Linked DNA regions of Drosophila melanogaster. The gene in region 1 interacts genetically with each later gene. Each region holds a gene or a part of one and is shown in the gene's direction. Other genes may lie near its edges. The genes, in order: Eip93F, parvin and Ets21C.

What was found.
Region 2: of Eip93F (region 1) and parvin, changing one enhances a phenotype caused by changing the other (phenotypic enhancement), as found in Drosophila melanogaster (one study listed by BioGRID).
Region 3: of Eip93F (region 1) and Ets21C, changing one suppresses a phenotype caused by changing the other (phenotypic suppression), as found in Drosophila melanogaster (one study listed by BioGRID).

Annotation. Positions count from the first base shown.
Region 1 is NT_033777.3:21,944,068-21,954,562, forward strand, and holds the start of Eip93F (Ecdysone-induced protein 93F), read left to right. Parts: upstream 1-5,046; 5' UTR 5,047-5,335; intron 5,336-5,572; 5' UTR 5,573-5,805; intron 5,806-10,495.
Region 2 is NC_004354.4:19,742,261-19,752,940, forward strand, and holds parvin (parvin), read left to right. Parts: upstream 1-3,780; 5' UTR 3,781-3,928; coding exon 3,929-4,049; exon of another isoform or gene 4,050-4,227; intron 4,228-4,381; coding exon 4,382-4,471; intron 4,472-4,550; coding exon 4,551-4,822; intron 4,823-4,989; coding exon 4,990-5,610; 3' UTR 5,611-6,198; downstream 6,199-10,680. Other genes in the region: CG18809 (uncharacterized protein), read right to left, coding at 1-608; Rpp20 (ribonuclease P protein subunit p20), read left to right, coding at 2,269-2,421, 2,495-2,845; CG33932 (uncharacterized protein), read left to right, coding at 2,847-3,293; Alr (augmenter of liver regeneration), read left to right, coding at 6,653-7,048, 7,128-7,369, 7,429-7,591; Abcd3 (ATP binding cassette subfamily D member 3), read left to right, coding at 9,174-9,286.
Region 3 is NT_033779.5:548,720-559,671, reverse strand, and holds the start of Ets21C (Ets at 21C), read left to right. Parts: upstream 1-7,217; 5' UTR 7,218-7,814; coding exon 7,815-8,514; intron 8,515-10,169; exon of another isoform or gene 10,170-10,456; coding exon of another isoform or gene 10,457-10,646; intron 10,647-10,952. Other genes in the region: rempA (reduced mechanoreceptor potential A), read left to right, coding at 910-1,056, 1,131-1,729, 1,790-1,950, 2,007-4,162, 4,226-5,336, 5,398-5,735.

The DNA of each region.
Region 1 (10,495 bases):
AACCTCGTCAACAAATCGAAAAGAAAAGCAAAAGGAAAAAGAAACATTTAAAATATTTATATGTGTGCACTGTGCCTGACCAAGGCCAAGCAATTTTGTATTGCTCTCGAGTTCCTTGGCCTCAGCAGCAGCAGCAACAGCAGCAGCAGCAGCAGCAACTGCAGCAATCTCTGTGAGCTTTTTGATTGTTGTTGTCGCCGATTCTTGGTCATTGGCTTGCTGCTGGGCGGCTGTCAGTTTTTCCCAGTTTACTTTTGCTTATTTGCTGAATTCATTGCGTTTGGGGGTTTATTTATTTTGGTTGGATCTTTTCATTTACTCTTACGCGGCAGTGCGAGTGCCACATGAGGTCATGCCACACACACACAGAAACACGCTCACACGCACACACACACACACACACAGTCGGAGGAAATCGAATTGGAAAAGCAGATTGAACGTTCCAAAGTAATTGCGGCTTATAAAATATAATTAAAAATATATTATAATGTTATTAATGCACGGTAACAGAGCTTATTTACTTTATCAGTAGTATACAAAATAAAAAAGGCACTCGTTAATCGGCATGCAAATTAATTTATGTTTGCATTAATCTTTGCCTTGGCGGGCTCGCCTTTGTGAGGCTGGCTTTAACGACTGCTGGCTAAAATTAACAAGAGCAAACAATAAGGGGCCATATTTAAATAAGCAATCAGCAGGAAAAGTAATATTCAGCTTCGTTATTTACAAATTATTTCGAGCATTTCTCCTATCAGCCGATCTTGATCCCTTGGGTGCCCCCGTGGACGTCATCCTCCTCGCAAGCGTCGCGATCTTGATCCTTGGGGACCTCGATCGCTGTGCTCGATTTGCCATAACCACCGGATCAAGTGCACATTCTCCACCATTTCCACATGTCGCCTAATGTCTTTGGCACTCACTCTTAATGCCGCTTAAATATCTGGCTATTATAACTGATTTATCTTGATTTTCATCTAATTGCAAGTTTAATTTCGCCTCATTATTTATGATGGCCATGTTTTTAGTCCATCGCATTGCCCACTCAACTAAGTCGTTCCCAAGCTCATTTCAGCTACTTCCGCTCCACAGTTGGCGGCGCTTGGCACTTGGCTCAGTTCCGCCAGTTCCTCCAGTTCCGTCAGTTGAAAGTTGCCAGTGGCCAGTCGCCAGTTGCCAATTGCCAAACGCCGCCTGTCCTGACTTAGAACGGATGCAATTGGCTTCCTGCGCGGCACTTTGGCGCTTTTCATTTGGCCCAATCAAAAAGTGGACTTAGGAGATGTCAATTTGTATGCCCTTTTAAGAGGTGCCTTGATGCTTATATTTATATTCATTTATATTCATTTATTAAAATATAATAACAAAGTTTTTATTGAACACTAATTTCTAGAAATTATATATGACATTGATTGCGTTTTTCTTAAAATCTGAGTTCTTATTAATTCATTCAACAGTTTCTAGAACAGCTTGCATTTTCTTCGTCAGTTAGGCTCAATTCGATTCTATTGAACTTCATAATAACCGGAAATAATTTAAATAAAAGCAAATACAATTTTTGTATTTATTGCACTTCTTAATAGGGGTTTGATTACAATATATATTCTTGATATCGCAGTGCTTTAATTTAAAGGGTGTAGAAGACGTTATGCTAACTTTACTGATACCTTTCCATTCGTCAGCATATGAGGAAATGAATAATTTTGTTGGAAAAACGCACTTGAAGATTGTTCATTAATCGAGACGAAGAGTCTGGGCGTCCGGACCCTTAAGCCCTACGGCAGTCGACCCGCTCCTCCTCTTCTTCCTGTTCCAGCCGAAGCAAAGAGTATCTTCAAGATGCACAAAAATGCATTCTTTGTACTCGAGCCGCAGTGGTGTGCGTGATGCAACTGGGAGTGTGAGTGCGTGTGAGTGTCTGTGTTTGCACCCCTTTGGCTGTTTGCATTGCGTCAGGCCGTTGCATTTTAATTTTAGAATATATTTTTGGGTCTGGATTGCAGTTCAACTCGGCTTGCAGCTCAGCTTTCAATGCCCGTGCATACCGTGCGTTTCATTATAGACTGCACATGTGTGCGTGTGTGTGAGTGTGTGCGTTTTGCCTGCTGCATTTTTCATTATGCAAAAATTGCATACCATTTTTTTTTTTTGGGTACTTTTTTCCGATTTTTGTTTGCTTTTTTCGAAATGCATTCAACACAAATTGCACGTTTTGGTTCGTGCATCTTTTGTGTACAGAATGCAATTGCATTGGGGTGGATTTTTCAGTTGTGCAGTATCTCTCCCCCCTTTGCCCATCATTTCAACGACATTTTCGGGGGTTTTTGTCGCATTTGCTTACGTGGTTTTAATTTTAATTGCTTGGTCCGTCATTCATTCATTTTTTTTCCATATTTCGCTGCGCCTCCGCTGCACTTTTTCCTTTCGACAAGTTCGGGTCGTGTGCATGTTGTCGCCGATTTTATCTTTTGTAAATACAGCAATTATATGTGTTCCTTGATGGCGACATTATGTTTTGAAGTTCTGCTTTTTTCGGCTGCTCCTTGTTTTCGTATTGGTTTTTTTCTTTTCCTTTTTCGGGCATACTTGTGCCGAGTGCTTAAGTGCTTGAGAGGATGACGACGACTGGAGTTTCATAGCGGATGTGGGCATCAATCTGGGCCAGGGGTGGGCAGGACTTCAAGCTCAAAGGATAATTATGCAAGAGCGTATTTTGGTAGCTTTTCTGATTCACCGGAAGATGCAATTTAAAGCGGACGGTAAGTCCTTGAGAGTTCCTTTTTTCGATCAAGTGATTATCGTCGTATTTTGTCATGAAATAATATTTTATTCATATGGTCTCAATAACACTTTTTAATTGATTTGCAAATGTTAAATAAGCTTAGGTATCAATTTTCCCACCCCAATTTTGTCACTCCTCCCCAACCACACAAATGTCAGAGCTGTGCAAACCAGCTTCAAGGTCATTTGTGAGCGCAATTAAATGCACAAATATTTCGCTTATTAGAATAGCATTCGAAAAAAGCAATTGTGCCACAGCAAATAAAAACCAAAACAAATTACAAAACAGCAGAAAAAAAAGCGAAACCAACTAAACAATTACTATTTTTATTATACACGAATTTTGTTTCTTTCATTTACAATCATGCAAACACAAACAGCAAAAAAAAAAAAGCGGCACAAAAATTACAACGAAATTTTCGCATTAATTGAGGGACCTTGAAACCAGTCACGACTCAAAATTCTGGCAGAGACCAGGGGCCAGGCCCAGAGTATATCCCCCCAACAGCCCCTCAGTTGCCCCTCTTCTAGTTGCCCCTTCACCGCCCACATCTCATTCTCCATCGGTCCGGTCCATAAGTTGTTCCAGTCAACGCCAACGCCAAGTCAACGCCGAAAAAACTGCACAAAAAATAAGGAAAATAATAACAATAAAACTAAAAATATTTTCGTCTACAATGACATGCAATTGAGTCGCTGCAAGTCGACTCGAATTGCAGTCTGTTCTCAGTCGGTCATTTCCTCAGTTGGTCAGTCAGTCCGGTCGTCAGTTTCCCAGTTGTTCAGTCGCTAAGGTGCGCAATCAGTTCCTCGTTGGGGCTTTTGGTTAATAATAGGTACTCACTCAGTTTCTCAGTCAGTCAATGGGTAATTTTGGGGTTAGTCAGGCTATATTAAAGGCGATTATCTTATGTCTTGACAAAATGACTTTAATATAAAGTCTTGAAGTTCTTAGCAAACATAATTAGCTGGAAATGGCCTTATGAAAAATGTCAAAAATTTGACGATTTTTGATAACTCAAATAAAAATAACTATAAGAGAAGTCTGTGGGTTGGTATAATTTATAAGGCTTAACAAAGGTATTTGGGTTATAGAACTGATACGATTGTTTACTAAAAATAAGCTGTCTACTTTTACGACCCTCGAGTAGTGCACTATAACGATTCCCGGAAAAATGCAACGCTTATCTGGGCTCCAACCCAATTATCGATCGCTCAATCCTTGGGGGTCACCATCCATAGATCCTTTCCCGACTCTCTCACAAAAATCGCAATTCTTCAAAGTGGCAGCCCAAATGAATTATTTTAGTTTTCAGTACGCTCTGGCACTCGACATTCGCACCGAAAAAAGTGAAAAAACGAAAACAATACGAAAACAAAAAAGCTCAAAACCAAAATAAAAACTAAAAAAGTGCATGTGCAACGGTAGCCTACGTATTCCTCCCGCCGATTTCCGCGTGCCCCGCCGCTCCCCCGGCCGAGAAGAGCCTCCGTTGTGGGAAGTGGATGTGGAATATATAGACGTATAGCCGGCTCGGATCGGTTTGCTTCGTCGCTGGCCGCCAGTTGCATTTCGAGCGGTGAGTGAGCGCCTCCAGTGCCGAACGCTGGCGATTCGGACGCGGACCTAAAATCGAAAACCCACCAAAACTGAGGCTGAGCAGAAAGAAAAAAAAAATGAAATGCAAGCACCACTACTGGCAGCGAATCGTTGCAAATTTTTACAAACTCGAGAACAAAATGCTGCTTGAATAAAAAAATATGTGTGAAATTCTCAGAGAGCGTGCATTATGCATATGTGTGTGTGTGAGTGCGAGTCTCTGTGTGTGTGTGTGTGTGTGTGTGCAATTAAAAATTGCACTGTACTTGCTCTTGGCCTTTCCCGCGACTTGAGCGGAAAATCCAGCGCTCTCTGGGCCACCATTTTCTTTTTCTTCGCTTTTTTTCCAACGTCTACTTCTAGCCTCTTGCTGCTGTGGCTCTCTGTTAACCAATTTCGCTTTTAGCCTTTTTTTACCGGCTGCCATGAATGAAGGCACCCATACAGTTGCACGCAAGCCGGCTAACTCGCTCTCCCAACCTCTCGTTCTCTCTCCCTTCCGCTCCCTCTCGCTCTCATTGAGTGAGTTCTGCGAATGCACTTTTTGGCCGAGTGGAAATGCTGGCTTGCTTGTGTGCGTGAGTGCATCCGCTCGTCGAACGCGACTGCAGCGGTCTGCTCAGCTGTGGCAGCAGGCTGGCTTTAGCTTTATTGTCCGTCGGCTCGAGCGGTTCGCTTCGGTCCCGGCCCCGCTGATTTGGATTTGGATTCGGATTCTCGGTTTCTCGGTTTCTCGGCTTCACGCTTCCTCGGATTCTCGGTTTCTCGGATACTTGGCTACTCCGATAGTGGGATATTCTCGCCAGACTCGGCTTCTCTGCGAGATTCTCCATTCTCCTCACTGCCCAGACGGGCGATTCTTGTGCCCGACCGATTTGGGTTCGGATCGAAGGCGGCGTTCGCTGCTGCAGCGTTTGCCGGCGTCGCTGCCTGCGCTCTTGCGTATTAGTAACGTCGGTCTGTCAGTGTCAGTTGTTGTTGTTGTTGCTTGTTTGTTGTTGACGCTGGTCGCGGTGTGCGAATTTTTATTTATTTTCTACTCACACACACATACACAGACAGACACACACACACACGCACACGCACATGCACACTACCTTTAACATGCTTCCTCTTCCCGAGCGAAAACAACAACAACAGCAACTGAGAGAAAAACCTTTAACGTGCGTTTTTCTTATGACAAAAATTTTTTAGTTGACATGCCAGGCCACTAAAAACGAAAAAAAAAAATAAAAAAGTAAAAAGAGCTGAAAATGCAAAAGTGCTGTGACAACCACAAATAAATGATAGAAGGAAAAAAGTTTAATACATTAAAAACAAATACCACAAACAAAGTCAACGTTTTCATCGTACTGCAAAAAAACCACAAATTTTTTACATATTTACATTAATGAGCTTGTAAATATTGGGACGCATTGCCACGAAAAGTGAGTAAGAATTCTTTTTTAATCATTCCATTTATGTACATACATCAGAATGGGGAAAAAATTCATGAGCCAGCACTTTTGGGTTCTTTGTAAACATTACAAAAATTAATTAAATCATGTATGTTTCAATTAAATGTATTTTTTGTATTATAAAAATTGCATTTTGTCCTCACTCTCTCTCTCTCTCTCTTAACGGCTTACTAATTATCCTCAGTGTAGATATTTTCTTATCAATTCGGGTAGCGTATTTTCTGGGATTTCCCTGAATTATGTAGCTCCATTTGCATTATAATTAAATAACTAAGTTTACTAGAACTAACTAATGGGTGATTTATGCAAAAAATCAAATAACAAAATACTTGAGTGCTAAGTGTATAATTTAAATTACCCTGCATTAGTTTACAAAGAACCTTTCCGGATTTTCCCCAACTGCAACAAGTTTTTGAGCTGTATAGTTATTATTATACCTATGCCGTATCATGCATTTTCCAATTGTTTTGGGATCGGTTCCGTTGACTAAATCGGATGACTCTAAATGCCTGTGATTCATCTTAAATGATTGCACTGATTTGCTCACTTTCAAGATGTTCGTTGCTCATAAGAAATAATAATAGATCATTCTAGAATAGGGAATAATTTGATAAGAACTTATATGCGCCTTCGCTAAGTAATATTGAAAGAGGTAATTAAAGTCTTGTTACTCAAATGTATAGCAATTCGCGAAAATCAATCGAGTGTTTATGAAAAGCTGAAAAACTTTCCATCGTCTCAAGAAATCAACACAATTGCATTCGGAAGCCCAACAAGTGCCTCTAATGGGTGTATAGATACCACTGCCCCCTTCCAGCACCATCGTTATATTTGCTTTTCCAAACAATCTGTCACCTACAATGGACTTGAATGGGTTTTCCTTTATGAGGCACAAAAAAAAATACGCGGAAATCTTAACGACCAATTAATGCGCAAATATAAATGTCAACTTGAAATTTATTGAATTTGAATGAAAAATAATATGTATATATAACAATTAAAAAATAAAATAGAGAAAGACAAATGAAGTGGATGCGAATTAAGTGCGAGCGAATAATAAAAATTTCTAATTAATGCGCTTCTAATTTCAAGTTGACAGACGGAAAGCACTGCGCTTGATGTTTTTATTATTATTGTTTTTATATATGTAGATATTTCGCCAAGTGATTCGCTTTGTGCACAATTGCATTTGATTTCGAATAATTCATTTGCGGCGATTTATGACACAGTCTGACTGCCACATAGACGGAAAAAAATAAGACAATGAATCAGTCGATGGTATAAGGGGGATATAAAAGTGGGGGCAGACTGATGTGTCGCCCACGCGTCGCAATTTTCTTTTCACTCGCCGTTGTCCTTGAGGCTTTTCCGCATTTCACGACGGCGACAAGTTTTTAGCTTTAAATTGCCGCCGAGGCGACAGAAGCCAAGATGGATTGAAATTTAATTTCATGTTCTCAAATTGATTTGTGCGGATATCCATTAGTCATCCCGGCTTCTAGCCGCTGGCTTCTGGCCAGGATTAGCATTAGACGGGAGTGCAACAGGCGGGCAACATGCAACACACAGTCATCTGACTACCAGTCTGCCTTTCTTGGTGTGTGTGTATGTGTGTGTGCTGCACGTAAGAAACGAGTTATTGGAACAGGTTCATGACCTTGACCATCAACACAAGGCAGCAGCAACAACACGAGCAACACGGGCAACATCAGCGGCACAACGGCAATTGCAACACGGCCTCCTCATCTCGCCTCCTCCGGCAGACAAAAGGAAGTGGTTGCATCTGCATTTGCATTCGCCATTGTTCGCCTTGGATTGGATTAGATGTTGCAACAACAACAGCAGCAGCAAAAGCAACAGCAACAAGTTGCTGCCACTCCGGGAAGTCGGGCAGTAGTCGCCATGCATTTATCGCTCACTGAGTGAGTGACTCACACTCCAAAAGCCAAAAGGGTCTAGTGGGTCTATGTACATCTACGCTCAGGGAAATGCGTGATTCACTTTTATGGAAACTAAAAAGCCTGCACTTCTGTGAGTTGCCATTATATATATATATCAACTTTTATCGAAATTATGCATGCGTTTTGAGTGAATTTACCGCAACTACGCTTACTTTGAAATAATTAGGAATAAATTCAAAAAGACTACTTATATATTCAGCTTAGTTGTGGTGCTAATGTAATATGCATAATTATATCTCCTCATTTAGTAGAGAAATAATAGGTACAACTACATCAGTACTTTAAATAACCCTGATACTTTTGATTAATTAAGTAACTACACACTTAAAATGCTATATTTTGCCTTAAAAATTGGCTTAATTCTAAAATCAACTTAAAATTGTACGCAAATTGCTAACAACGAAATCCGACAGAGCTTAGTGTGATTTCAGTATTACCCCAATCCTCGTGTGGCTGGGAAAATGTTGTGAAAAAGAAACTGTTGCTCTGCTCGAAAGGACGCAGGATGGGTGTGTGGATGGGGGGATGGGGTATGGCTCCTGCAATTGGGAGGCTTTGGATTTTTTTGTGCTTATTTTTCGTATTTCGCTTCTTTCTCGCAGTTTTTTTTCGCATCTTCCTCATGCCACGCCACTATATAGTTTATATAGTTTGGTTGGATGGTGGGGCCACTGGAAGTGCACTGGAAGTACATAGCTGGTGCAACAGGCAGTTGTTGTTTCTAGCTGGCCGAGGAGATTGGGCTATGCTCCACATAGAAGGCGTGTCCCAAACGAGGATTCGGATTGGGAAGAATGAGGAACAGAGGAGCAAAGGAGCAAGGAGCAACGTGCAGAGGGGCAAGTGGGCAGGGGGAGGAAATGTTTTTAATTTAACTTTGGCCATGTCAAATCCCCTACGCAAAGAAAAGCTGAAAAACACTGGGCAACAGGTGGGGAAGACAATGGGAGTTGGTCAATTATGATTATGGCTTCCTCATTCCGCAGCCGCGACTGTAAAGTTTAAACAGCGCGGCGACCTTAATAGAGCCAATTGTGTGACGGCCATTGCGTTTGGCATTCCCCGCATTGTTGTCCAAAAACAAAATCGATATTTTCCATATGCATAAACACAATTGAACAAACAATTTTTAGGCGAGTGCAGCAACAGCGCACCGGCAATGCCAAACTGCCATATTGTCCTTGAGCTTATCACCTTTTGCACAGCAACGAAAAAAATTCCAAACAAAAAACTAGTCGGCAGCAACAAAAAAAAAAAAAAAAAATAACTAGCCAACAACATTCGCAAATATCAATTCAACTGTTTTCGCAAAAAAAAAAGAAATACAAAAAATTTGCGAAAAATAGAAAATGGAAATACAAAATAAACCTGCATACCAGTTTTTTCATATTTTCCAGCGTTTTTTTCGCAAATTATTTGTGGCATCATTTACTGAAAACAAACACGTTTGCCTCTATTTTTTAGATATTCCATAGAAAACTGAGCCATTTTATGATATTTTTCTTCTCAATATGGTTTGCATTGATTGTGTTTAAATTTCATAATTTCTTTTTTCAAGTTGTTATCTTAATTAATATTTTAAATGGCAAATAGGTTGTATTGAAGAAATAATAGAGAAATGAATTTTAAATAATCTGTAAAATAGGAATAACTAATATATACCACTTTACTAATCGAACCTTTGTTAAAGAGTTTCTAATTTGACTCAAAATCGACTTATTTAAAATTCTTATTCTTTGCTTATTTTTTGGGTTTTATGTTTGTATTTTGCCGTTGTCGATGCAACAATTAAATTCATAGAACTCTGCCCCTTTTCAGCTTACAAATAGTTTCAATTGCGGTTGAATTTTGACGATACTCACACGGACACGAATAACCCATACCTCAACAATTAGACAAGGACGGCTGGCGGCGGCAGAAAGAGAGGACAACACGCACGAACACTTGTATTGACGTTTGGTTGGCGACAATTGATTTTTGTTACGTTTTCGTTTATTTTCATTCCGCCATCGCTGTTTTTTTTTTTTTTTGCATTTTTTCAGCAATTTAGTTCGTTTGCTTTCTGGCTTCGTTATTTAGACAACTGCTGACAAAAAAAATATTTTCCTATTCCTCCGGTCCGCAATCGCGCCCTCTCTTTTCCTCCACCAGCGAGGCCACACACGCGCTGCACTTTGCTGCACCGCTCATAATTCCACTTTTTTTTGTTGCTCGTTTTTTGTCACATTTTTGTGGCAGTTTTTTATTTTCGCGAATTGCTTGAAAAACTTCTGGTCGCTTTGTCGGCCTGCGACTCAATTTCGTCTTATCTAATTTTTGTTTCTATTTCGCTTCTTTAGTTTACAACGCCTCTCTTTCTTCTTTTTTTTCAGTTTTGCAGTTTTCCATTTGTTTTTTTTTTGTTTGTTTTTGTGTCGAAATCAGGGCAAATTCATCATCATCAACAACATCGTCGCCTTGTTGTTTTCCTTCTTTTTTTTGTGTAACAAAGATAAGGTTTTTTGCTGGCAAACGAGCGAGTGTAGTGCTGCTGCTGCTGCTGCTGCCGCTTTTTATTCTTTATACAATTTCGAGACGAGGACTTTTCCGAGGGGTCGGACATTTTCGTGTTTGTCGAGTTAATCATTTCGGGCGAAATTTGATAATTTTGAAGGTGACCTCAATTTGTAAGCGGCGCTGCGAATCGCGAATCGGGGGAC
Region 2 (10,680 bases), on another chromosome or scaffold:
GCTTCGCGCAGCTTCTGCTCCATTTCGCGGTGGATGCGCTCCTTGTCAAAGGGCTCGTCGGTGTCCAGGTTGTAGTAGGCGCCCACCGCGGACGCGGCACTGCTCTTGCCAGCCAACTGGACTTGATTTGTGGCGGCGGCAGCTGCAGCGGCTGCCTTCTGTACGGCGCTTAGCTCCGATTTACTGGATGATGATGCATGGTGGCCTCTTCGTTGACTGTTGTTGGATCCATGGCCAATGTCAGAAGAGGACGGCGATTCCGAGCGTCGATAGTGGCTGGAGCGCCTTGAGTGGTCCCTATCGCGATCACGTTCGCGATCCCTAGAGCGATCTCGGGAGCGATCTCGGGAGCGATCTCTGGAGTCGCGGTCTCTGTGGTAACGGGATGACTGCCGTTTCTGGTGGCGGCGACGCTGGCCAAAGCGTTCGGCGGAGCGGCTGCGACTGCGGGAACGCGAACGGCTGCGACTGTAGCGACTGTGCTCTCGTCTGGAGGATCCGGAACCAGAGCCACGCTCGTAGTAGCCGCGCTGATGGCCGCGTGCGGCGCGCCGCTGGTGGCCGTCCTCCTGATCCCGCTGATAGTAGGGCAGGCGGGCCGCCGACATGTCGGGTGTGGATGTAGTGATGATCTGCAAATCGAAACTGTGCCGCGTTAAATCGAGCAGTTGACAGAGGCGCGTTTACGAAATACCTATACACAAGATCTGTATACTTTGTAATCAGTTAGCGTTTTGTTCTTTTTTTGGATCTGCGTCTCGGTTCGGTTCGGTACGGTTCGATTCTATTCTTTTCTGTTCGGTTTGGCGCGTGTCAGAATCTTGAATGGAGAACCAAGAATCGATAATCGAGAATCTAGCATTATTTTCGAGCACTGTCTTGACTTGGCTGGCGCTGGCTCCTTGACCGGGCCGAATCAGAATCAAAATCGGGTTGACTTGGGTGACATTGGGTACGGATTCGGGAGCCGGAACTCCAACCAAGTGGACGGGCGATAAGTAATGCTCGCGACAAGTAATGCTTCACTGCGCAGACGCGACTCTTATGCAATTTGGATACTCAGACTTGGATTTGGATGCATTGATTTGATTTGGACTCGATTTGATTTGATTCGATTCGATTTGATTGGATTGGTACTTGGCTGGCAGATTTCTGTTTGATAAAATGAGAAATGGTAATTTACTTGTTTGCGATGTCCGCTGCGGTGGAAGTGGATGTGGAAGGTGGTGTTGCTCCAACGTTGCGGCTACGTTACGTTATCATCCGTGGATGTTGTTCGTGCTGCTCGCCGTTGCTGCTGCTGTGGATGCGGAGGAGTCCTTCCGTTTGGCTGGCTACGTGCGAATCAGTGCGATTCAGCTTGTTAGCCTTTTAGCTTTTAGTGGCGATTTGTGCTTAACTCTTGACTGTTTGCGACTCTGAAACGTATCGGATTTTCGGATTCGCCTGCATGGAAAAATGACTTGAACGCATGAATACAAAACGTTACTCGAACCAGGACGCGCTGTGCAGGGGGTTTGATCTGATCTGATTTGAGTTGAGTTTTCTTTCTGGCTACAAAATAGTGGCTACGTTAAGGGGACTGTTTCTGTTCGCTTTCCGTTGCAACCCCTCGGTGGCGGGCGGTGACTTATGTAACCCTGGGGATCCGTACGCCCATTCGGTTACGGATCCATTTGGTGGGGGCCAACTTACGCAGGAAGATGCAGACCCGGCCCGCCCCTCATCAAACAACTCACCCCGACAGACATGACTACCCCGAGTGCATCAGCGAGTTATGTAACTTGTACTTTTTTCTTTCTTCTTTTCCTGCTGCCCGAGGAATTCGCCAGCGGAAGTGTGTAAGTGCGCTAGTGTATGTGTGTGTGTGTGCGAGTGTTGCGATTTGGAGTGGCGAAGTGGCGCCGCGCGGCCAAGTTAATTCTTGCTTTGGATGGCATCGATCGGTGCCTTGGCTTACGGTCTGGTGTACTTGATAAGGTGCCAAAACGAAAAACATACCTTTGTTGTTACGAGAGTACGACGAAAAATTTTCAACTGGCGAGAATCTCACGAGCCTGGCGATAGCTATAGCGATGGGCTGGCTCAAAACTATCGAGAGCTGTCACGGTGACAGCTAGAGCCAGGCTGCCAGATCGCTCAGCTATTGCCTAGTGTTCGCTAGAGTTGGCCAGTGTTGGCCAGCGTGCGATTCGGAATGGAGTCGCGAGTCCGAAACTGCGACACGCGCAGGTAAATGGAAAACACAAGTCGCCTCCTCCGCCGCTGATGATGGGAAGCAATTATCCCGAGCACGGGACCAAGCCGAGATCCGCCAAATACCACAAACAACAGAACCACCGAGTGGTGCGCAAGCAGCCGCCGCGTCCCGCTGTTAGCGACCGCCACAACATCTACATCACCAGCAAGACAGACTTTAAGGCAAGTAGAACTGAACTCATGCTGGATGGTGAATCGCCCATGTGCTAAGTGACAGAGTCCATCTCCTTGACAGGCCCAGCAGCGCCGCTGCGAGGAGCTGATTAACTCCGGCGCCCACGAGATCTTTCTGCATTGCATGGGCTTCTCCGTAACCCGCGGCCTCAATATCGCCCTACGCCTCGTCCAGAATTCTGACGGCGCCCTTAGCTACGCCATCAACACCTCCACCGTTCAGCTGGTGGACGAACTGCACCCGCTGTGCGATGCCGAGGACATAACCTTCCGCCAGCGCAACAACTCGGCCCTGCACATCAAGATCCTCAATAACAGTCTCTTCGACATCGCCGTGCCGCAACCGTCGCAGTCCCAGACGCAAGCCCAGTCCCTGGGCCAGTTCCGAGGCAAGGCGAAGGCCAGGCAGTAGCATGTTCAAACTCTCGGAGCTGGTGCGCTGGCTGGGGCTCACCGAGTTCGAGATTCTGGTCAATCTGTGCGGCCTGCTGGTGTTCACCATCACGCTGACCGTCAAGCTCCATCTGCAGGCCAGGGCCGGACCCGGTGGCATACTCCCGGAGCCCATGGGCGACTGGTTCACCGTCTTCAGCCCCCTGTTCTTCATCGACATCTGCAACGCGTACTTTTGCGTCATTGTGGGCATCCGCATGTACCTGGACTCTAACAACAAGCGCAAAGCCCTGCATCGCTTCATGTGGAGCACGTATTTCCTGGTGCTCATCGCCATCTTCAAGTACCTGCTCTGCCTGAAGCTATCCAGCAAGACGGGCCTCGAGTATTCGGAGGTCTTCTCGCCGATCTTCGTTCTGTTGCAGCTCGTGGCTGTGCGCGCCTGCCAGTTGCCCAACTCCATCTAAACCATAGACGTAGTATAGCCCTAGTTCCGTATTATACATATATGTAACTATTCTGAAAGCCTTTAAATCATTGGATTGGTAGTTATCTGTATACGCAATGTGGTACAATAATTTTTAAGCGGTACGAAATTTATCTTTCTGGATATAGCATATCTAATATATACGAATTATATCTGATCTGATTCGGTATGAAGGACATACATACATACATATGTTGTTGTGCTTTTTAATCAATGATCTAATGATCTACGCATTATAATTTTTTTAAAATTTCCAACAATTTAATTTGATGTACAAATTCAAAAACTATTAAGCTGATATGAATTTCTTCTAGCTGTTGTTGTCAAAAGCCACATTTTTTTTAAATTATAAATGAAAAATAACATTTAAGCTCATTGTTTTAATTTAATCTAAGGTCTTTTTAAACAATTTTTATAATTGGCAATTTAGTTTTTATTCGATTTTTTTGGAAGTTTCTCTTGAGTCCGAACGCCAGTGTTGGACAACATGTGTGGTGGGCCTGCGATCAGGTGGCAGCCCCAAGGGAAACTGATTGCTCAGCTCCGCCCGAAACGAATCGAAACAATAACACAAACTGTTCACTTAGTCCGGAATTCTTGGAATCCAGCAGCACCATGTCCACACTGAACCGCCCTAAATCCCCGCACACGCCCACCGCCATTAAAAAGGGCGAGAAGGAGGACAGCTTCTGGGACAAGTTCAGCACTTTGGGCCGCAAACGCGGCACCCGCGAAGGTAAGTCCACTTGATGATTGGAGCTCTCCAGATGGCTATTGTCGGCCAGGAATTGATGGGTATCCCAGAGTATTCCATTCTTGGACCCCTGAACCTCCGAAAAGTGGCCCAAAATGACCCAATGGATCCTCCCCCTGCGCACTGGAAGCTCTTCTGGGAACAGATGTGCGGATGCGCTGATTAATCAGAACATTGCGTCACTGTTGACCCACACAAGCAAACGGCGCTGATAATCGAGAGTGTGTGCGTTTGTGTGAGATGGCCTTGTGTCGTCACCGTTTTTGTTTACCTTGTTGATACCCTAAATACGCATCCGCTTGCTCCATTTGCAGTGAAGAAGGTCCAAGAGGAGGGCAAGTACGCCATCGACTCGCCTGGATCGCCCAGCCAGTATGACATCCCGCCGGAGGACTATGCCCTGCGTAAGTGCATTCGTTTTGAAGGGGCATCTCCTCGTATACCCATCGCATTTCCCACAACTCATCACATTTGATCCTACAGGCGAGCACGAACAGCGCGCCGTCATCGATCCACAGTCCATCAGTGATCCCCAGGTGATAAAGCTGCAGCGCATCCTCGTCGACTGGATCAACGACGAGCTGGCCGAGCAGCGCATAATTGTTCAGCACCTGGAAGAGGACATGTATGACGGCCAGGTGCTGCACAAGCTGTGGGAGAAGCTCACCGGCAAGAAGCTGGACGTTCCTGAGGTCACCCAGTCAGAGCAGGGCCAGCACGAGAAGCTCAACATCGTCCTGAAGGCCGTCAACCATGTAAGTAGTAGTAGTTTATGTTTTGCAGGATTTAAAAATCGGAGTTACCAACATTTAATTATTTATCCATTCTTAAAGTCGAATAGAATAATTTTTATTCGATTTACAATTAACATTCCCTTTTCTCGCGATATAAGAATAAATTTTATCCTTGCCCACACCCACAGACACTCGGCTTTCACCAAAAGATTCCCAAGTGGTCGGTGGCCAGCGTGCACTCGAAGAACATTGTGGCCATATTACATCTGCTGGTGGCACTGGTGCGTCACTTCCGGGCGCCCGTTCGCCTGCCAGAGAACGTGTTCGTGACCGTCGTGATTGCGGAGAAGAATGCGGGCGTGCTGAACGCGCAGAAGTTCCAGGAGCAGATAACGTCCGAGTACGACGACCTGGGCATGCGCTGCGAAAAGGACGCCTTCGACACGCTGATCGACTGTGCGCCGGACAAGCTGGCCGTGGTGAAGAAGTCCTTGATCACGTTCGTGAACAAGCACCTGGCCAAGCTGAACTTTGAGATCAGCGATCTGAACACGGACTTTCGCGACGGCGTATACCTGTGCCTGCTGATGGGCCTGCTCGGTGGATTCTTTGTGCCGCTGCACGAGTTCCATTTGACGCCGCAGGACGTGGATCAGATGGTCAGCAACGTGGCCTTCGCCTTCGACCTGATGCAGGACGTGGGCCTGCCCAAACCAAAGGCGCGGCCGGAGGACATCGTGAACATGGACCTCAAGTCCACCCTGCGCGTCCTATACAGCCTGTTCACCATGTTCAGGGACTTCGCCTGAGTGAAACCCGGATGGAACGAGCCAGCGGGTTGCAGGAGCAACAAGCGGCGCCAATTTTACATTTTATATTAACTTTTTGATAGTGTTTACACGCCTAATTTATGTGCGTTCTCGAAACTGATTGTAGGCGATGCAGCGGTTAAAGCTTACTGATCCTAACTCTCAAAACCACAACTAAATGCTGCGTCGCGTATAATCAGCCCAAGGAATGTTTATATATATATATATATATTTATGTGTCGTACGTCTAACCACTGCGATCTGCTCCAGATTCAGATTGCTCGGAACAGGAAGGAGCAGAGCAGAGCAGAGCTAACCCAAACCCAAAATCCGGCGGCCAGTTGTTAACTTGTCTTACTCACGTGCCAGACGTTGTAGTTGTTACTAAGTGAATTTATTGTATTAATACATTATTTGAACACAATAACCGAGATTGTGCCTTTAGATCACACAGAGCTTTTGCAAATTATGTCACAGATCAGATTTTAACGCTGTAAATGTAGAAGTTTACGGAAAAGTCTTAAAAAAAAATTTTATTGTGTACGTTAAAAATTTGGATCAGAAAAATCAATAAATATTGCCAATAGCATATGTGTTATTCTATTTTAAACAGTTCCAAGGCGCAAAATTTATCTGGGGCTGCAGCACTCACAAACGCCAGCTTCCATCCTATTCACATGTAAGTTCTTTCGAGCGTCTCGAATTGATTGAGAAACAAACCTTAGTAATTTTCTGAACGCTGTGCTATTTGAATTGTCGCGGTTGCGCGCGCAACTCGCAACGGTCTGGTATCGATCACAGCTGCGAGCAGGCTGCCAGATCGCTTCCCGTTCGGGAACGATTTCGCATCGATTTTCGATTGCTGGCCGGTATAATTTGAAAATGTTACTTTGCTGACCGGATTTTGGTCCTTGGCCAGATGTTGGCCATGAATCTAAAAGCCAGTATTTAGTAACTTGCGTTGATTGCAGCCGCTTAACTAAGCCGCTTAGCCAGATATGTCCTAATGTTATGTGTTTCGTTTCGAAACAAGGTGGCAACCATGCGCATGCTTTTTATGATTTTCACAATAGCCGAGCGAAGTTTCAAGATTCTAGAACTACCCACCACACCAACGCTTCTGCTGCGCCGCCAGTCCCACAACTACGGCTACGACTACATCAGCCCCACGCACATCGAACTCAGCCGGGAAGCAACTCGCCTGGTAATTCGCCGTCTGCAGCGCACCGTTCTCCGCCTGATCCGTGACCCGGACTTCATCATGTCTGCCGAGGCGAATCCCGAGATGGATAAGGAGCACCACGAGTCCCCATTCGCAGCGAACCGCAAGGCCGGTGCCAGCGGCGCCGGCAAACAGGACTCGAACTGCCGCACCTGCAACGATTTCAAGTCGTGGTCCAAGCAGCAACGCCTCATCTCCAACGTGCAGAGCGCCAAGGTGACGTGATCGCGTTGGCCACTTCGCCTTCGCAAGCAGGACGATAACACAAGAATCTCCCACTTTCATACTCCTCCAGGTGAAGCACATGGCCGCCGCCGAAAAGCTGACCGTCAACGCCGCCGAAGATCCGCTGCCCCGCGACGACTGCCCGCTGGACAAGGTGAGGCTGGGAATTTCCACCTGGGGACTGCTCCACACCATGGCCGCCTTTTACTCGGACAACCCCACGGACACCGAGAAGCGCGACATGAAGACCTTTTTTGAGGTTCTGTCGCGCCTTTACCCCTGCGAGTTTTGCGCCAAGGACTTTCGCACCGAGTAAGTGCATCTTCAATCCATTTGAAAACGCTGACACTTTAGCTGGACCTCTGTTGCAGCCTGGACGTCAACCCCATCAATGTGAACTCCCAAAAGGAGCTAGCACTGTGGCTGTGCAAGTTCCACAACCGAGTGAACGACAAACTGGGCAAACCGCTCTTCGATTGCACCAAGGTGAACGAGAGGTGGCGCGACGGCTGGCTAGACGGCTCCTGCGACTAGGCGCCGCAGCTAACCAGCGCCGAGAAGCCCCGTCTCCCGCCCGTTGCAGGTTGCCATGTTGACCAGACTTTGTCCCACATTTTGCTCGGCTGGCCCACAACTACAACCACGGAACACGGGACTCCTGCTCGGCGGTGTACCGCCGCCAACCCGAAACTGTGCCCTGTTTCTGGCCAGAGGCCATGCCCACCAGTCGGAACCTGCGTCAGCGTGACATTAAATTGAGTTATGTTGTAATAGAGCGACACATCGAAGGTCCATTGTTAAATGATTTGCTGGCTATGAACTCCATTAGAATATACACATTATGTTGAGGACCCGTATTATGCCTTCTCACTGGCCCTGCAGATATCGCAATCTCTAATCTGCCGACTGGCGTTTATTAGATTAGAATGGGGAAGGCAAATGCTTTCCACTTCGATAAGATGGGAGTGGAAAGATCTAAAGCGGAGTTGGAATACAATGCTTAGTTGGTTCGAAATTAGGGGATTTGGCTGATACTTATATAGTTTTTAGATTTCCTTTCTATAATACCTAAAGGACTAAAGGTCTTAAAATTTGTCTGCTCTGGTTATATTTTTTAATATTTAACTTAATTTTTTTTTGCAATCAACGAAACATTAACATTTTATTCATTTAACATTTTAATATGCTTAACATAAGAGATATAAAAATTAGTGGAATTTTCGTAAGAGTAAGCCATTATATGATTTACTTATATAACATGATTGCTCAGCAATAGTTTAGGTAGTTTAAGCGGGGAAATTTAAATTTGGCTAATTTAAAATATTTAATACCTCAAATTTAGATGAACGATATTTTCGATTCATAATTATCGGTGATAACTTGTTCGATAGCTCTTCGTTCAGAAATAGCCAGATTTGGCGGCGAAATAGCTGCCCCCGCAGCGCCGCTGCCCGCACATTGTCGTGGTAGCCAACACTAGCGCACATCGCACTACAGTTAGTTGCCTGCTGGCTTTTGCGCGTCGCACGTATCACTTCGTCAGATTTCTCGATTTGGTCGAGCTGAGTAGAGTGTAATTACCAAACAAAGAAATGCGCCTGGCTCAAATTGAATAAATAAAAGCGCCCGCCGTGTGTGACAATCACTTTGCCCACCCCCTTTGGCCAGAAAAGGAGCGCCACTAGCAGCGGAGGAAGAAGCAGCAGCACCATCACCACCACCAGTTGTAGTACAGGAAGAAGAAGAAGCAGTTGCCCTGAAAGAGAGAGAGGGTGCGAGCGAGAGAGGACGAAGCTAAGACAGGGCTGTTCGACAACCAGGTGTTTACATCCTGCTATCCACCATCTGTGTGTGTGTGCATGTCTGTGTGTTGTGTCGTCATCAAACAGCCGATTAAAATATTGAAATCCGTGCAATAAACAATAGTGTCTGTTCCCCTTTCATACTTACTATTTATTATAATTTTTTTTTTTTAATTTTTTCCTTGTGCAAACCCCCTCCCCCCACGTGCGGTTAATCGAACACTGAAGTGCGAACGCGAAATTGCGAATTGTAAAATTCACAAGGTGCCCAATTTGAAGCCAAACGAGATCCGTAGCCACATCGCAATAGCAGAATGGCCCCGGCTCTAAGCAAATTGGCCAACAACCAGAGCGCCATCGTCGGCGTGGCGGGCATGACGGCGGCCCTCTGGATAATTGCCTACGGAAAGATGTCCAACAAGAAGCGGTAAGCCCCCCCTTGATCTTAATTACGGATAATTGTGGCTCAACCATGTTATTTATGTTGCCTGTGCAATATGCAATATTCTACGAACATCTTATTGCACAAGGTCTCGGTCTTGGCCATCGATGTGTCCGTGATATTGACTTGAGTTTTGGATCGCTGTGTATTTATGTACAAACAGATTTGTTTGCGGGACATACGATGCGATGCCACTATTGTGGGTCATCTGGCGGACTGCAAAAACTGGTTTTCCGATGGCCGTTTCTGCCACACTGTATGCACTTCCCCCTCATTGTAGTCCGGTTTCAATTGATTCGTCCAGCAGCCGCGCACAGTGGGCCGGACAGTTCGTTTGCAGCTCCAAATACTGTTCTTTTCAATTGTGTTACCCATTGCCATAATCTTATAATAAGTTTGGCGACCACCAGCTTACGTTTTGAAGATTCTCAAAAAGATATTTTTAAGTGCAGTCCCAATACAAAAAAAAAGTCAACAGATCATCGATTCATTTAAGTAGATGTGAACCAAAGTAGCTGGATCTGTTTGCAGTCTATCCCTATTATGTAGATATACTGATATCTAGGATAGGTCTGAATGTATATATTGTCTGGGAGGAATGGAGGAATTCCGCGTACTTAGCAGAAGGTAGACTCAGATAGGCACTACATTTCCGGCCAAACAGCAAACTCGATTAGGAAAGCCTTCTCGGCGCCCTCGACTATTATGACCCGAATAGCCACTTCTTGGCGGCCTGCTTCATTGCGGTATCGCTTCAAGGATTTCCCCATCGAGCACCTGCGATGCGGACTTGATTCCCCGGTTAAGGGCCACGTTTCGGTGTTTGAATGGACTTGGTCTTTGCCGCTAATCTAATCGGCAACGCGCCAGTCTACAGCACTTCATCTATATGCCCCATTCCACTATCGCCACTCGTGCCGATTATGCTGTTGTTAACGCGCTCAATATTTGGTCATATTCGATGTGTGCGGGGTTCGGCGCGCAATTGACCGCTATCAGTCGATTTCATCTTATTGAATAAACTGAACGGGTAAAGCGGGCGCAATCGACTATTTGCATGACAGAGCCAATTAATTAGACAGATTGCGGCGGACAAGTGGAGTGGGTGGGTGATTGCATTGCCAGCCAGCCAGCCAGCCAGCCATCCGCATGGGATTGTGGGGGATCTGCCGTGGCTGCATGTGCCACTCGTTAATTGCTAACATTACTCCGAGTACTCGGAGTATGCCGAGCACTCCGATGTTGGATACCCAACCGGTGGCCATCACTTTCAGCAACTTCTCTGAAGTGCACTGCACTTTGGCAGGCGATCGAAATCGAGCATTTTAATGCGCTGTTTACTTTTTTATGCAACTTTTGCGAGCGAGGTAGCCGCCACT
Region 3 (10,952 bases), on another chromosome or scaffold:
GCAGTAGTGGCGAACCTTCTGGTTTCACTGTTTTGTTTGCCGGTGATTTCATTCGAATGCACGAGTATTGCGAGTTAACGGGGCGAATACGCGACGGATGATTGTGTGGGTAAGCTCCAGCGATGCCAATTTGGCTAGATTTAAACTAGCTAAAGTATGTGGAATGCAACTTGAAATCAAAGACGCTAGAATTAATTAATAGAATCGCATGGTTATTTAGAGCTGTGAACATTTGATTTCTGCCATGAAGGAATTCTCATGTTTTTCTTTAACATGCTATCTGATTAATAGGGATTTAATATTTATCTGGAATTTTGGCAAAGCTGCAAAGTCATTGCTAAGCCGTTAATAGCTGGTTGTCACATGTGCAGGGGAGGAGCATAATGCTTATCAATAGATTCCAAAATGATGTAATGAATGAGTAATGTCGTCGATCTATGGAAGTAATTATTATAATTATATCTACCCATTCGTATTTATTTAAAATTATCTTCGCTGCTGGGTGTCGGAATCACCCTGTGGGTAGGCAGATTTAACAAAACCCGTTAAGTTTTGAAAATAGAAATAGAACTGTATTGTTGGGAAGTACCATATTAAATTCCCTGGAAAAGTTTTGTTTAGCTTGTTTGTTTGTTTTACCCCATGACAAATCGTGCGATCAAGTGGTGAATGATAACTTGAGAACTCATAAACCAAAGAGTTATTTGTCGGTAAAGTGAATTAATGGTGAAATAAAACTATTGTGCTTATTTGCTCTTTGCAATATCCAATAACCTGGATCAAGTTGGTATCTCAATTAATCAATTGCTTAGGAGCAACCATGACAACCGTTGCTAGGCAAACACATTGTTACTGTGTTTTGGCTCCTGCCAAAACAAATTCATCCACTAAAGGTGGAAAACCGGTGTGATGACTCTCTACTTTGACACGAAAATCGAGTTCTTGGACTCGGATGCAGTGAGCACCATCAGCAGCTGGCATCCCAGTGAGCCGCTCTTCGCAGTGGCCTCTTTTAGTCCCGAAAGAGGCGGTTCAGTGACCATCTTTGCAGATACCGTCAGTATTAATCGCTTTGGTCGCAGACCCTGCCAAAAATCGGAATGTATATAATCTATATAATCAAATTGCAGGGTGAGCCCCAGCGAGATGTAACTTATCCGGTGCACGCCACTTCGCAAGCGACGGCACTATGCTGGCATCCGGAGAAGGCGCTCCTGGCCAGCGGTTGGGAGCACGGCGACATCCATGTGTGGTTCGCTGGTCACAGGGAGTTTGCCAGCGTGAACGCACCGCACAAGGCGGCCATCGTCCTGCTGCAGTTCAGCGAGCAGGGCGGGCGGATGGTCACGGCGGATGCCATGGGCTTGGTCACCGGATGGCGCTGCGATGGCCAGTACCAGTTCCTAACCATGTTCTCCCACGACCTGCGGGAGGTGTTGCTGCTGATCTGCTTCCGCCTTACGGTGGAGAGTGAGGTGCGCGAGGAGATGGCCAATCTAGCCAAGGCTGCTGTGGCAGGCGATGAGAACGCCCTGGACACCCTAACCAATTGGAGACCGCGCACAGCAGCCCGGAGCATGACCCATTCGGGGGTGCGGGACAACCACTGCTTCTACGCTTGCACCCAAGGAGGAGTGGTGTACTACATCAACCAAGGAGGCGCCTGTGTCGAGGTGATGAAGTGCGGATCACTGCCTCCCATTGTCCAGATGTTGTGGCACCCAAGAAAGTAAAGAGCTGTTGAGATCGAAAGGTTCTTTACCTGAACCCTAACATTATTCCATTCTAGGGACGCCGTCATTTGCCTGATGGAGGACTTGACAGTCACCTTGTTTTTGGTTGAATCCACAGGCATCCTTACGGAGCTGGATCGTGTTAAAATGAGCGGACGTGGAGGCGGTCGGCAGGGAGGCATCGCGTGGTCTGGAAACTCTTTAGCCATCATAACAGGTAGGATATATTATTCGATTTTTCACTTCTGTGCTAAATTTAAGACTAATTTTCAGGCGATTTTTTCGTCCGCATTTGGGACATCGAGAGAAGCGACAATTACCTATTGAAAATGGACCTACCCAGTGGCAACCAGCCAGGCTCATCTATGACCACTTTAAGTAATGGCACCATGTCCTCGTCCAACCAATTCTTTAGCCATGACAGCAGCGAAAGCAGCGGCGTTCTCCGCAAGACACCAAAGTACGGCCAGCTGAACGGCGAAATGTTCACCTGCTTGGCATATAGCTCTACGGGACAGACTCTGTGTGCAGGAACGTCCCAGGGGAATGTCTATACTTGGAAGAGGAGCGGCAGCAGGCTAGTCGGTGCCCCCGAAGATGCCTGGCAGCTGACGAACATATCTTCCGTGCGAGGAGCCATCCGCAGCTGCGAATGGGGATACAATGAGCTAGCCAAGCCCTGCATGCTGGTCAACTGCCTTTCCAATGTTTTCATGCTGAAGGAGCAACCTCTGCTCGCCGTTCATACCCGCGAACTGTGGGCAGTTCAGAGGTCAGCCAAATCAGTGCAATTGACGCACTGCAGCGGTCGGGAGGCCATTGTTCAGTCCGAGTTCGCCGTGACTGCCATGGCTTTGAGTGAACTGAGCTTGGTGATGAGTAATGGCAGGAGCATATCATCCTATAGCCTGCAGAAAGTGGAGAAGAGCTTGGATGAGTTCGAGGAGATCCTGCAGACAGTGGAGGGCACAACACCGACGACGGAATCTACCACCACTCCGTTGAGTCTGAAACTCCTGCAGACCTTTGCTGCCGAATGCTTAGCCTTGAATCTGTGCAACCAGAACATATTTTGCTTGGGTAGCAGTGACGTTTTTGTTTACTCCGTGGGAGGGGTAGTGCTTCACCGCATTCAAGCAAGCGATATTGAAGGAAAGATCATTGGAATGGATTTGAGTGGCTGCTATCTCTCGGTATTTACCATGAATGGATATGTGAAAGCTTACGACGTTTCTAGGCACGATCCCAAGCTGCTCTTTCCCAGCAAATCGGGTCACGACATTTTCGATGACTTCGGGGAGTTCATTCTGGTCAAGTGCAATAGCTCCGGCAGCCACTTGGCCATGGTGATAGCCAGTAGCAATTTCACCCCTATATCCACTTTATTCTGCTGGGACTTTGAGCGCAGCAATCTTCTTGAATATGGACTACTGGAGCCAGAAACCAACGCCAAGAAGGAGTCTTCGACAAGTTTGCCGGTTCGGATTTTCTGGGATGCAGAGGAACCTCGTCTCTTGGCTACAGAAGTCAAGTCCATGATTCAGAAGACCCTGCCCCAGAAGAACTCCTTGCAACCCAGTCATTTTGTGCAGTCAAAAGTCGTCCTTTTGTTTTATTCCGAGAAAGGCTGCCTGAATGTCCTCGAAACACAATCCATGAGCCCAGGCTGCCAGCTACTGAACCTTTGTGTACCCAACGTGATCCGGCTGAAGATCAATACGATGGAGGAGCAACCTCTGCAAGACTTCGTCGACCTACAGCAGTGCAATCCAGTTACGAGGAAGCAAGTCCTGAATTTCAGTCTCTACGTCGCAGAGGGAAATATGGATATGGCTTATCGCAGCATTCGCTCGATTCAATCGAAAGTGATCTGGACAAATCTGGCTAAGATGTGCGTGCACACGAATCGCTTGGACGTGGCCAAGGTGTGCATGGGCCACTTGGAACAGGCCCGCTCCGTTCGTGCCTTACGCCAAGCGATTGAAGATGACGATCTGGAGACGGAAGCCAAGGTGGCTGTGCTGGCGATAGAACTCGGAATGATTGAGGAAGCCAAGGATCTTTATCGTCGATGCAAGCGCTTCGATTTGCTAAACAAGCTGCTCCAGTCCATTGGGCACTTGGATGAAGCAGTAGAGCTGGCCGAGGCCGAGGATCGGATTCATCTGAAGCACACGTACTATCAAAAGGCACAGGAGCTGCGAGAGAGGGGTGACATCAAGGGAGCTCTGGAGTACTTTGAAAAGACCCAGAATCCAGCGCAAAATATTACCCAACTGCTTTTGGAAAACCCTGGCGCCATGAAGCGCTACATCCAGACCACCAGCGATCCCAAGCTGCTTAAATGGTGGGGCCAGTATATTGAGAGCTCCGGCGACATGGATGCTGCTCTGGCTGTCTACCACAAGGCGGAGGACTGGTTCTCGCAGGTAAATTAGCAAGGCTTTAAGATACCACGAAACACTATACACTAACATCCTGTTCCTCTCAAGGTAAAGATACTCTGCTACCTAGGTAAGATCTCCAAGGCAGACGCGATTGCCAGGCAGTCGGGGGATCGGGCGGCCTGCTATCACTTGGCGAGGCATTACGAGAACGTGGGCAAGTTCCAGGAGGCCATTATGTTCTTTACGCGTGCCCAGACCTTCAGCAATGCGATCCGCATCTGCAAGGAGAACGACTTTCAGGAGGAACTATGGACGGTGGCCAGCTCGTCAAGGCAGAGGGACAAGGCAATTGCGGCAGCTTACTTTGAAGAGTGCGGAAACTTTAAACACGCCGTTGAACTCTACCATCGGGCCGGGATGCTCCACAAGGCCCTCGAGATGGCATTTGAGTCTCAGCAGCCAGAGATCCTGGAAATTATTGCCTCTGATCTAGCGCCCGATTCGGATGCCGAGTTGATTAACCGCTGTGCGGATTTCTTTTGCAGTATCGAGCAATTTCAGAAGGCCGTGCATCTGCTGGCCAAGACCAGACATTTGGAACGGGCATTGGGCATATGTTCCGAGAAGGGCGTACCCGTCACGGAGGAACTATCCGAGATGCTTACTCCGGAGAAGGGGGAGTTCGAGGAGGCGACTCGAGTCCACATCCTCGTACAGCTGGGCGAGTTCCTCCAGCAGCAGGGCGACTATCACAGTGCCACCAAGAAGTTCACCCAGGCTGGCGACAAAATTCGCGCCATGAAGAGTCTTTTGAAGTCGGGCAACACCGACAAAATTATTTTCTTCGCTAATATGTCGAGGCAACGTGAGGTCTACATCATGGCTGCGAACTATCTTCAAGCCTTGGACTGGCAATCGGATCCGCAAGTGCTCAAGCACATAGTCACGTTTTATACAAAGGGCCAGGCCTTTGATTCGCTGGCCAACTTTTATGCCATCTGCGCCCAGATCGAAATCGAGGAGTTCCAGGATTACGGTAAGGCTCTAACCGCCATGCAGGAAGCCTCCAAATGCCTGGAGAAGCTCAGCCACGCCCAGCACGTCTACAACAATCTGCAGCGCACGGTCGCGGATGTTAAGGCAATTCTGGAGATCCAGCAGGCGTTGCGCGAGGGGGATCACCAGCTGGTCATTGGCTCCTGCCGCAGCATGCTGAGTAAGTCGCTGGCCTAGAGTGTACTCAGCTTCCATTAATAACCTTTTGTTTTCACATTAAGTTAAACCCGAACTGCCGCCCATACGCCACGCCCATATCTTGGCCATGCTAATCCGAGCCCTGGTCTACGTCAAGGACTATTCTGAGGCGGGCAGAGCTTTGAAGGAGCTGACCGTGAAGGACAGCACGTGGAGTGCCTCGGGACTCTTGGATCGCAGCATCGTTCACAAAATTGCGCAGGAGTGCCACTTGGAGTTCGATCTCATCTGGAATGCGGGACGCCAGGTGACCGCCTCCACAAGCGGTACGGCCGCCACTGGAATGAGCAGCACTTCTGGGATGACGACTACTGATGATGACGACGCCGATGACGAGGAGATCACCGAGGAGCTGCATTAGATGATTCAATTAATAGGCGATGCAGCACCTAGTCACGTCCCAGTTCCGCAGAGCGGATAACAAGTAAATAGGCAAAAGAGTTCCCTTTAAATTGGATAAGCAATGGCTACAATGGAATGTTTCAACCAGCAGATACTAAGTTATGCTAAGATATTAAGTATTAATGATCATAAACGAAAGTATATACAATGACAGAAATCGTGGAAAGCATCTTAAAGTTCTCAATCAAAACGAACAAGTTACGTATTTGTATAACTTGTATTTGTATTTCACAAGACTGCTTAAATTTCTGCTTATATTGTATACAAATCCCTTGCTTGGGCCATTTGGAATTTTATGAATGAACTTCACGATGTACGCAAGCCTAGTAAAAGCTTTCGGTGCTGAAACATACATATGTATATGTATGTAGGTATATGACTTGGATGTGAGTTCAAGTGACCGACGTCACATCAAAGCAAATATAAACAGCGATACGGATTCGGATCGGCGGATCTGCCGGCGCCAGTCGGAAAGCAAAAGAGAGCGGCCATCCGTGAATCACTTGCCCAAAAGCGTCCGCGTCCTCAGCTATGTATGAAATCAGAGGCATTTCCAGGAAGCCAGCGAAACTCGGAACAATCGAAAGAGCAATCAGTTGGCGAACTGATATAAACTAAATCGAAAACGTCACCGACGTCAAGCAATTGGATATTTAGATCCCAAATATAATTACCATATATGGATATGGAATGGTTTAGTTTTATAAATACTGACCCTTAACTGGAACTTGTCACGAAGTAAAATGCGCACAAGGATGAACTGCGGATAGGAGGCTTGTAGAGAAAACCATGTATCACTCGATTATGACATAACTATTTATTATTTATATTTATATCTTCTATCTATATATATCTTATATCATTCTGGGAGCGACCTTTTGCCAAATATCGGAACAGAGATAAACTGATATTCCAAGTAGGCATGGCATGGACCACAGACAACTAACGACTCATGCCCGATTTCCCAGAAGAATGACGCGGCAAAGGCAACAAGACAACAAATCCAAATAGGAGGGGAATCGATGAATGAATGAATTTTCGTTGGCCCCCAAACGACCTTCCACCCGAGCCACCCCCTGTGGCCCACACACAAGGCTGGGGAACTCCGTCGGCTTCCCGCCGATCGACGATCGCTGTGCTCAATGGACGGGTGACTCATACGGACTAGGCCAGTTTCACGACGTCATGCTTAAGGTTGTTATTTGCTTTGCGAGCGAGCGATAAGTGGGCACTGCGGAGAGCGAAAGCTCGCGAGCCGAGTGGCAAACGCCGCCGGCAAACTGGTCCCGAGCAGCCAGTGCCCCTCGAAGTCAGCCGGTTGGTCATGGGGCAGCCGAGTCGGCGAGAGAGCGCCAAGTGGAAAGCTCATGGGAGCCGACTTCGTCATGGCTTTATCACTGTTCGCCGGCGCTGATCATTAGTTCGTCACTCGCCAAGTGGGTCGGATCAGGGCCAGAGCGATCGAAGATCGGCGATCTGGAGTGGAATACGGCGCTACTCTTAACCCGATCGGCGGATCTGTAATCGGTCGATGCAATAACGGTTATTAAACGTTTCCAATCGCAAACTTTCCGCGAAAGATTTCCGCGATTTGCGGCACGTGGAAAGCCTGCCGCTGACTCCACTTGTCCGGTCAGCAGGTGAAATACCCTGACTATCTCGGGTGAATCATCCAGCCAGACGAACACACATCCTAAATCCGTTTCAACCGGTTGCAGGCTACCAATAAACGCAATAATGCGAAAGTGTGATTCCTAGAATATTATGATTAAACAGGGCCAAAGTGAAGTGAATATTCTAGTAGTGCAAAAGGGCGCCAAAAACATAAACAATAAAGTGTAATTAAGTGCACTTACCAAAAATCAAGCTGGTATAATGAAATCTTAGTGAAAATCAAACAATAAGCAAATATAGATTAGATGAATTTATATGCCAACCGAATAATGTCAAAGAAAAGTGAAACGGTAAAGCTACCAAAAGTCTTTAGCTAATAGCTGATATTGCACTTTCGAAGTGGGAGCAGGAACATCCCAGCTTAATGGCCATTCTACAGAATAGCCGCCAGAGCCACAAGCAACTCCCAATCATCAGCCAGACGATTCGCAGTGCTTGGTGCCAACAGAGGCCGATTAATGCCATGCATCAGGATGTCCGGCAAAAAAGCATCGGATCCGGAAACGAGACCAAACTGGAAGCGAAGGAGACGGAAGTTCCCACCAACAGAAGAAGACGCAGAAGGCGTTGCAGCAGTAGCTCCACCAGCGACTCAAGCGCATCCTCATATTCCTCAACAGACTCGGATTCCGGGTCCTCCACCAGCAGCAGTAGCATAAGAAGCCAATTACCCGCCCTCAACTTGCCAGTGCCCCTCCCGCTGGCGACACCCACTCCGCCCGCCGTTTCATCGCCTCACCAGGCGCCATCTCCTCGAAGGAACTCCAGCGACTCCAACCGGAGCGTCTCTCCCGTGGAGGTGCCCGTGGATCCGCACGCTTGGACGCCCGAGGACATTGCCAGCTGGGTGAGATGGGCGACGCGCAAGTTCAAACTGGACCCGGAGCCGGATATCGACAGGTTTCCCAAGGATGCCCAGGAGCTGTGCGATCTGTCTCGCGCGGACTTCTGGGTCTGTGCAGGATCAAGGCGCGGAGGCATGCTCCTGGCGCAGCACTTCGCGATCAGCTTATACCACGCCACCGGACGGGAGACGAGTCCGATGCTCAACGACGACGAACCAAGTGAGTGCCTAAGATAGAGCTTATTTGAAGAGGGATTTCAAATCCTAGCCTATGTCCTCTTATGGCTTAGTCTTTGAATTCCTATTTCTGAAGTGCCAACCCTTCCAGAATCGAGTAAAACTACTTAAACGGAGCCACATTTTTCTCACTGTCCCAAGCTAATCTCGGGCCACATAAATCTGCAGAGTCCAGAGATTGAACTGCTTGGTAATTGGGTTCACGTGCTATTCCCAGCGGAGCGATTGTCCGACTCTCGAATCCTTTGTGGTCAGGCATCAATTGAATCCTTTTGCCTCCGTCGCCGGCCAAATGGCCACTGATTAAGATGCCTTCGTGCTGATACGGCTGTAACTTATGTGCTCCATTGATTGTTTCTCCCACACTTCTCCGGATGTCTTGATAAGGAGGAAAAGTGGCCGAAGGTGCGGGAAATCCCCTTTTAATTACCTTTCGCTCGAGTTGGCCAACTTTCTCCGAGACTCCATTAACGTAAGTCGTTGGGAAAATCTCTGCGCGACAGCAGCAAAGTATGCAACACTTTTCCAGTTATTAACTGGCGATGACTGCCAACGCAAAGGCGATGGGCGTTGGGGGGGGATGGGGGGGGGGCGTGTCAGGGCCTTGTGGGTGGTCGCGTCAAGTGATGAACTTAATAATAAACGATGTAAATATGATAATTTCTCGCAGGATGTGGCATCTAATAATAAAATCAAAATAATCCCACGCCAGCGACAAAAGTCGCCGAGTCAAGTTTCAGCTTGGCGGAAAAAGTGGGCTGAAGGTCGGGTGGTTTGGATGGCTTGGATAGCTGAGATGGGTTGGGTGGTTTGTCCGTGACAACAGCTCTGCGGGTGGTCAGCTTTTGGGCACAGGAAAATATTCATTCGTCGCATCCTTCCTGTGGCAGGAAGAGCAAGTGCAGGGCGGGCAAAGCCCCCTGATTCGGGTCTGGCATATGCTGGTGGATGGGTGTTCCATGGACTACACATACATGCCTTGATCCCGGGAGCAGGCGACGTCGATTTAATTGATTTGTTTTTTATGCCAACCAGGATTACGCGTCGTCGCCGTCACGCAGATTACATTTGTTGTGGGCTACGGTTGTGGCTCCCATGTCTGAGTCACCGCCCCCTTTACAGGGTACAAACTGGATCAAAGCCATTCCCTGTTCACAATGCCACAGCCACCAATAGTACGTACCTTGAGGAACATACCAATGAAACCATTAGTCATATGATTTCCCAAAAACTCGGATATATTTCCCCACGCAAACAGAATACTTTTCTGGTTCCATCATCCATCGGACGCGCCCCTGCCACCTTATAATATATCCAGCCACTCGCAACTGGGTATGCATTAGTCGAAACGCTGCAAAAGAACAAGTTGCTTATCGTGTGCGAAGGGGTGGGTGCTGGTTGAGTGGCTGCACGTGGCCTCTGACTTTGCGACTTCCCTGGCAAATGCCGAAGCGGCATTTACCACCAGCTGCGCAGGTGAGCCGTAATCGTGCCCGGAGCTTCGACTGCTTCGCGGATGCCCATGCTCCCATCCAAGATGCCAGATGCCAGGCATCCGTCCGGTGCTAAGGAGCGAAATCCGGCCAGCGCTTCTGGCTAAAGTTTCAGTCGGCGAATGGCTCTCGTCCTAAACGGTTGACGCGCTCCCGGCATAGACCTTCATTGATGGTCATAGAACAATCCAATCGGGTCAAAGGTCAATCCAACGCAGCATTCAAAGCAAACCTAAACTATAATAGCTAACCAAATAGAAAGAAATTGCTTACAAGCTTACAATTTCTAACTGCAAAGTGTAAAATGCGATTGATTATTTTAAGAAATAATCCAAATGCTGATGTGACTTAATCGAAGATATTTACTAAAGTTTAAAACGGAAATAGTTTAGTGACTTGCACTTGCAATTTCTGAAAAAGACTTTTGCGACCATGAGCGTCAGCGTGGACGTGGGCGTCATGTGGCGCCTCTCGGAGGACTTCAACCGGCGCTTTGGCCTCCGGATGCAGCCGGCCCCGCCAGTTGGGCAGCACCCCCATCCGCACCACGGTGCCGTGCACCACCACTACCACCACCACCACCAGCACCACCAGCATCCGCACACCTCGATGATCTTCAATGGTAAGAGCGCCGAAATTCATAGGAATTTCCGCTGGGCAAATGCCAGCCGCCAGGCGAAGAATGAGCGGCACGAGGAGATTGCTCAATGGCAGCCACGAGATCTCTGGCATTTCCGGCGACCGGTGGCGGGGCCCCAAGAAATATGAATGAACGAATGGCACGGGATGGTGGGTCCAACGGTCCGACATTGTCTAGAAGTGGGAACTGTGTCTTTTAGCCGGCGCGTTGCTCGATCGGCGGATGAGTCACCTTGATTATGGCTTCGTGCTGTTGCGGCGGCACTTTGACCAGGGATTTCCCCTGTGG